Coturnix japonica: one gene and its partner. The protein of the gene in region 2 interacts with the protein of the main gene of each other region in a pairwise test. Links are inferred from orthologs where the notes say so. Each region holds a gene or a part of one and is shown on either strand. Other genes may lie near its edges.

What was found.
Region 1: the proteins of FMR1 (region 2) and CYFIP2 interact in a two-hybrid assay, tested with the Homo sapiens proteins (2 studies listed by BioGRID and IntAct). The link is inferred for Coturnix japonica from reciprocal best matches to the Homo sapiens genes FMR1 and CYFIP2.

What each region holds. Positions count from the first base shown.
Region 1 is NC_029528.1:13,113,510-13,117,329, reverse strand, and holds part of CYFIP2 (cytoplasmic FMR1-interacting protein 2), read left to right. Parts: intron 1-1,168; coding exon 1,169-1,258; intron 1,259-1,335; coding exon 1,336-1,413; intron 1,414-1,880; coding exon 1,881-1,982; intron 1,983-2,523; coding exon 2,524-2,705; intron 2,706-3,011; coding exon 3,012-3,108; intron 3,109-3,774; coding exon 3,775-3,820. UniProt on the Homo sapiens protein: Involved in T-cell adhesion and p53/TP53-dependent induction of apoptosis. Does not bind RNA. As component of the WAVE1 complex, required for BDNF-NTRK2 endocytic trafficking and signaling from early endosomes.
Region 2 is NC_029519.1:17,281,897-17,285,716, forward strand, and holds part of FMR1 (synaptic functional regulator FMR1), read right to left. Parts: intron 2,392-3,820; coding exon 2,221-2,391; intron 2,111-2,220; coding exon 2,032-2,110; intron 158-2,031; coding exon 48-157; intron 1-47.

The DNA of each region.
Region 1 (3,820 bases), on a different chromosome or scaffold from region 2:
TAACATTTTAACATCTATCTTCACAAAGTAATTTTTACCCTCTGCTGGCCTGTGGCCCATGGGAGGCTCAATGTCCTGCCCAGTGGCACAGCTTTACTTGTGCTTCATGGCCACATGTGTGCTCTCAGCTTGGCCTGTAAACCTCACTGAAACAATGACAAAACTGAATCTGGAAGTACTGGCCAAACCTGGTTCCTCATCACACCTGCTTTAGGGGTAGCACTCTTCCTGCTACTTGAGAATGCATTTGCAGCCTCAGGTTTGCTGCACATTAGGGTCATGGATGCACAAAGAAAAGCAGCTCTATGGCTACAGCTTTGTGCTCCCGGCTCAGCTGCTCAGGAAGTCAGTTATTGAGGTGAACACAGTCACTGCAATGCTGATGACATTGCTCTGTGCGCTTGGGACTTATATGTGCTCTGCTGTGCAGCAGATAGCATCAGGGTGCCTGCGCAGAGGAAACTGCCCAAGCCTAAAGCATGTGAATGAGGTGGAGGCGCTGTGCTTTCACCCCCTGCCTTGCTTTGCACTTTCTTACTGCCATATCTACATGCAAAGCAGTAGCTCAGGTTTCACAACAACTGTTTCCCCCAAAGCATCAGCTTGCAATAGAAGCACTAGCACTAAGCACTGAGTGCTGACGCTCACATTTATGTTTCCCAGACATTTCTTTCCCTACTCTTTCTATGTTTATCCTTTGCAATTCCTGCTGACAGGATGTGGCCTTCCCCTAGCAGCCAGGGCACAAATAGAAGTTAATGAGGTTAAAAGACTGAAATCCTTCATATACTTGCTACAGTTCTGCTCACTGGTGTGGCTACAGTTCTGTATAAATGATCCCCACTGGCTTGGCTTGATTTTAGAAAGCTTTGTCAGTCTCAATGGCCACATCTTCACATCCATCATCTGCAGGGTTTCCTCTAATGAACGCGTGGGATTCCGATATGCAAACTGCATATATTAATCTACTTTATCCCTAGGGATGCAGTGATTTTCAGCACCTCCAATTCATTATGACCCCTATGTCCTAAGATCCCTCCTGCTTCTCCCTGTGCCTGCTGGGGGTTTTCTTGCCTGTACTTCTGAAACAATTTGACAGCACACGGCATCAGGTGAGCAAACATCTAGCTTGTGCATATTTTAATCCTCATCTCCATTTCACCCATAGGCTAATTTTGACACAAACTTTGAAGACAGAAATGCCTTTGTGACCGGCATTGCCAGGTACATCGAGCAGGCAACGGTGCACTCCAGCATGGTGAGTCCCTGGGCACTGCCCAGCAATGCCACACTGCAGTGTGTGCCTTGCCCTATCAACACCTCTCTGTGTTTCAGAATGAAATGTTGGAAGAAGGCCATGAGTACGCCGTGATGCTGTACACGTGGAGGAGCTGCTCAAGAGCCATCCCCCAGGTATGCGTGGTTTTGTCTTCAATGGATCAGTTTGGGTCAGTTTGGGGTGGAGACAGAAAATAAGAAAAGACTGAAGAGGGTAGAATGGTTGAAAACAGAAACCAAATGTTCTGCTGTTGGTGTACCTGAAGGTCCCAGGCTTAATCATTCTCCCCTTCTAGTTCTGTTTCAAATGTTTTTCAGTCCTTCTCCAACCTGAATTTTGGTGGTTCTGTCCTTCAGACACCTACAGGCATGACTAAGGTTGCCCACATGGTCCACTGAGCTGTGATTCAGCCTCCAACACAAAGCTCTGCCACATGAGAGCTCACTTCATCACTTCAGAAGTGCAGGCTGACAACACTGCAGGCAGATGCAGCACACTTGCATTAACCCTACTGATAAAAGGGTTTGCAGGACTTCTGTGGAGCTTGGAAAACATATTTCTGCATATTTTTAATGCTGACAATCATCATTTGTCTTTGCAGGTGAAATGTAATGAACAGCCAAACCGAGTGGAGATTTATGAGAAGACAGTAGAAGTTCTGGAGCCAGAAGTGACCAAGCTTATGAAGTTCATGTATTTTCAGGTATGTGGTCAAAGTAGTTGACAAAAATAATGTCTTTGGTTTGAGATTCTTTAGCAGGGCCAGCATAGCTCACTCTGCTATGTCACAGAGTCAAACACCAAAGCTAACAGATGCCACATATGAGACACTTGAGAAAATAACATACTCAGATCCCAGCAGAGTAATGACAACATAGAAAAACAGAGCTGCTGTAGGCTCAAGGGAGCTCCCTATGTCACTGCTTGCATTTACAACTGGCTGCAACTGGGTTTTACTACCGCCTTTGGGTTTCATGTCCCATGAGATCTTAATTCTCCACCTAAAGAGCCAAAGCGTTATTTGGCAGACAGCACTGCTATCCAGGCAGGCTGGGCAGAGGATTCAAATCTCCTCTTCCCCTCCAGCATGGAGGACATTTGTTGCAGGGGTCTGTAATGCTGCCTCATTTCATGGCAATAACTGAGTGAGACCCTGAAGCTGCCATCCCACCAGGGGAAGGTAGGGGATGGTGGCTGTAGGGGTGGTGGTGTGCATGTGCTGACCCTATCCCACTGCCTTCCAGCGCAAGGCTATCGAGCGGTTCTGCAGCGAGGTGAAGCGCCTGTGCCATGCAGAGCGGAGGAAGGACTTTGTCTCTGAGGCCTATCTCCTCACCCTGGGCAAGTTCATCAACATGTTTGCAGTACTAGATGAGCTGAAGAATATGAAGTGCAGTGTGAAGAACGACCACTCGGCTTACAAGAGGTGAGAGGCAAGAAGCAGGGCTGAGCCTGCACCTGGTCTGGCCGAAGGCATTGCCTGCAATGGGATCTGGCAGATACAGGGAGGCTGGAGGGTGGTTATCTGTGCTGTTGTGGTCTCTTTGTAAGAAAAAGACCAAGCTTCTGTGTGTTTCAGTTCCCTGTTGGTAAAATGAGGAAAGGGGAAGGCTCTGCTGCAGGTGAGCTCTGCGGCTGCTGCTCTGCAGCTGCAGGTGAAGTGAGGAGGATGGGTGGCGAGAGCCTGGCATTGGGCAACAGTTCATGGTGATGGTGGATTTTTCCCATTCAGAGCTGCCCAGTTTCTGCGGAAGATGGCAGACCCGCAGTCCATCCAGGAGTCCCAGAACCTCTCTATGTTCCTGGCAAATCACAACCGCATCACACAGGCAAGTCCATCCCTCTGAACCATTTGACCCTTCCATGCTTCAGGGAGCTTCAGGCTGGACTGCAGCAATATCTGCCTTTTTTTGTTGGGTCATTTCTGATGATTGTTGGTGTCTGGGTCAGGCTGCATAAGTCTAGTAACAACTCTCTCCATTGGGTTATCCTGGGTAGCTTTGGAGGTCTCTTTATGTCAAGACAAGGATAAAACTCTAAAAGATGTAAGAAGAGCTCTCAGGAGGCTTTCTCTCATAAACCTTGCCCTTATTTTTTTCCAGAAATCCATCCAGTCTGTCTCTGTAGCTGCATAGGGATTGCAGATCAGACACAAGGGACCTCCACAATCTACAGGCCCTACAGATTCTGCTAATTAGATAAAATATTGCACAGAGACAGGAGACAGTCAGAAGGTCTGCTTCTGAGCAGACTGTTTTTCATCTCACTGTCTGACGCTTGGCTGCTGTCATCAATCTGAAAAGGAGAGCTCTCCTACAGGTTCCTCTTTATAGGTGGTACCATGAGGTCAATCTTCTATCTGTAACTCAAGTGCAGACAGGGTTTTAAGAAACCTCATTATCTTCTTAATCTTTCAAGTATGTTTCCACCTCTGGAAACATATTCCTGCTCTTCCTCTGCCCATGTGGATAAAGTGTCCTGTGTTGCTGTTTCAGTGTCTGCACCAACAACTCGAGGTTATCCCTGGCTACGAGGAATTGC
Region 2 (3,820 bases):
TACAACCATCAGATAGCACAAAGAAATCACATTAAATGAAAAGATACCTCTTCTTGTGGAATATTTTTATCATTTTCAGCCTCAATTCTCACTCTTACAACACCAGATTTGTCCACTATCTCCTGAATCAGTTTTCCATTTTTTCCAATTACTTTCCCTACAAAAAGGACACATAAAACATTCAATTTTCAGGGTTTCTCCCCCAAAGATTGAGTATTATTATACTGTTATTAAACAAAACCATTTAGTTAGCAGTGAAAGAACTTGTCAACATATTTAACAGGAACACAGATTCTTATGACTGCTGAAAAACCAAAAAATAAGGATTTTTTTAAATTTATTTTTTAAAGAGGACAGTACTGAAATAAAGGCAGTAAATATTGAGTGCATAACAGCTGATACAATTAACCCCAGGAGAGCAAATTAAACTTTTCTTTTAATCACAAACAACATTGCACCTATTATTCAAAGCTAAATGGATTTTTCCACTTCTGTGTTTGTTTGTTGTTTTTTTTTTAATTTTAAACCCTAAATATTTGTAGAAAACATGACAAAAAAGAAAGCTACAAAGGTCTTCCTTGAACACAAGGCTTGTTCAAACAATCAAAGGCTTCTTTTGAGTAACTTATTCCATTACACATCTTTGGTGTAACAGTTTCCTAATAAACAAAACAAAAAAATCCTTGGTGGTAAATTAAAAAAAAATAAAAATAATATAAATAAATAAATAAAAATCAGGTGAACCAAATACAAAAATGAACATTAAATTACAGAAAAACTTATTTCTTAAAAACAAATGTTAAGAAGAATTCAGCAACATACATGAAACATTAAAAATTATTATGTATAGATACAGTCCATTTTGTAACCTACGTTTTAGGTTACTGATTTCTATGAAACCTTTAGAAAGGCAACAAAAATTTTTTTTAGTTCTGTTTGAAATTTTTAAAGGATAATTATGTAGAGAAAACAGATGCCGAGCTTTTATTTTAATCGAAGGAAAACGTAAAGATTCCAGTGACATAGTAACAGGGTTTTGACTTAATAATCCATACTCATTTGTTTTCTGGCAAATTACTAGAAATTAGTAAGTGAACAAGCACTATTTTGGATATGAGATAAGGTTGGTCCAATTATGTGTTTTAAGGAATCTAGGCCAAGAAGCAGACTACAAGTAAAATCCTGCCAAAACCAGAAGTAAACGCAGGGTTCTAAGCAGAAAATAGACAAAATAAATTTCTAATTAAAGTAACTACAGCAGCCTAGCATTTCACTTGCCCCTTAGAGGTAACAAGAGGGAGTGGGATGAAGAACCTACCCTAAAGCTACTGCTCTAAAACAACTCCAGAGCTGAGCAATTATAAGCACTTGTCCCTCTGCAGAATTTTCCACTGCTTCAACACAGGCTTTTGTAAACTGCTCCATATGAGGTACATTAGAGTTCACAGTATTCTTCCTCTTTGTAGCAACAAAACTCAATAAAACAACTTCCACATTTCCCCCACATAATGAGGGCCACATGCACTCCAGTGAACTCTCACCAGGTATTTGATAATCTAAGTCACTATTATCTTTGGAGAGTTTTCTTGACCTTCAAGTGCCTTAACCAGGCCTTCAGTTTATCCTACAGTGCTGCTTCTAAACAAACGTAAGCACGGGAGAAAAATACAAGACAGTGCAAGAATTACTTATCTGTTCTACAGCTGAAAAAATACCTCAGCATCTTTGAAGGAAATAATTCTTAGGCTCAATCAAGAAACTACTCTACTTTGTATTAAGGCATCTCTGAACTGCAAACCAGCAGGTAATTCCTTACAAAGGACTGTCCCTATGAAGGACAGAATTGGGGTATAGAGGAGGGTTGTGACAAAAAGAAAGCCATTAAAAAAAAACCCACAGCCTTCAAACTAGAAGGCTGTCTATCACCTAAGAACTGCTCACAGATAACTTTTTCCTACCCTGCCTCAGTTGTAAAAAATAAAAACCTCAGAAGGCATTTTTCTTTAATACCAATCTCCAGGACTAACATACCTACTAAATTTCTTGGGACTTGTATGACATCTTCAGCAAACTCAAGGTAACTTCTTGCCTTTTTCACTGCATCTTGATCCTAAAACACAAAGGGTATGTAAGAGAAATGAGATGGGTTTTCCCAAAGCGTTTGTGTTTATTGTTTTTTTTAAACTCATATCATCTGAAGGATTAACGAAGGGATCTTACCTCTCCGTAAATATGGAATGTGCAGGTATCTTCATCAAGATCAATGGCAGTCACTCCAGGAACTTTTCTGGCTTGCTGAATATTAGCACCATGAGTGCCAATAGCCAAACCCATTAAGTCTTCACGAACAACAAATTGTTCATGAAATCGTGATGCAAGTTGTCTAGAACTCTGAAAGGAATCCAGATATTTATAGCTGTAGCAATTAGACAGATCAATACAATGAGAATAGGAAAAGAAAGAGAAGCTAGTGTAGTCATCATAGCAGTTTTACCTTTCCTACTCTGAGCTACAATAGAAAAATACAGTAGCAGACATTCAAAGGTCTATGGCACAGAAAGGAGTTTATTTGATCAAAACAATGAACCATTAATAATATTGCAATAAAGCCAACTCCATTCACTAAATATTTGTTCAGTACATGGATATGTGCAGTATATTTATACATCAATTAGCTTTTCAACAGAAATTACGCATACAGTTTTTAGTACCTGAAATCTTTGAGTTTGGCTGGAATTGTCTTTATAGTTATTAACAGAAACATGGCAAATATCAGCCAACTGATATTATAATCATAGATATTTATCTCACAATAAGCTTCACTAAAGTATGGTGCAGGTAGAAAAAAGGCTTTCTAAGCAGAGTTGAACAAAATTCTTCAGCTTTTCACAGCAGAAAAAAGGTTCATGCTTAGAACAGAAGCAAGAATCCCAGATTAGTTAGGAATGGGAATTAAAGACAGCAGTTGCTGGTGCACACCTCTGTGGGGACACAGAGAATGAGCTCTGAAAAGGCTGCTGTTCTTCCCACCTCTGAAATAATACTCTGCATTTCATGAGGTAAATTGCCCACATGATTGCCAGTTCTGGAAGAAGACAAAAATGAATTACTGAGAACTACAGTGGGAGTGCTCAAGAAGGAAAAAAAAAATCAATGAGAAGAAACTGTTTCCTTCTTGGTCTTGAGAATATTAACATCTAAACTATGTTGGCTTACAGCTCTCAAATACAGAAATCAGGAGACTAACAAGAGTAACAGAAACACTTCCTGCAAGCAGTTGTGAGTAACACCTTCTGGATACAAGAGGTTTGAACTACCACACCACATCCCACTTAGGGCTAAAACCACAGCAGATCTAATGCTTTCTGGGGAGCAGGGTGGGGAATAATGAAATCTGGCTTAAAAACAACAGAGTTGGTATGCATCCATATAAAACCTACTGCTCAAAGTTTTATCACTCTTCTAGTTCTTGCTGATGAATCTAAAAAGAAGTTTTAGGAAATGCTGCTATATTTTTCTGATTATATATTTTATATATATATATATATATATTCTGATTTGTAGATGGGAGAAAAATATACAAAGACAGGTTAATTCTCTAATTTCCTATTCTACTCCTTCCTTCCCCCCCACCATGGATGAGTCAAACTTCTTGCCAGTCAGCACCCACTCTCCAGTTGCAGAAATATCAGAAGTTTTATCTGCTCTAAGATAATTTTATCTAGAGACAAACCAATCCATTTGTACATACTGACAACAGTCTCACCCCCTCCTATAGATCCACCTCTCATTTTCATATAATCTTTCGAGTTAGAAGGGA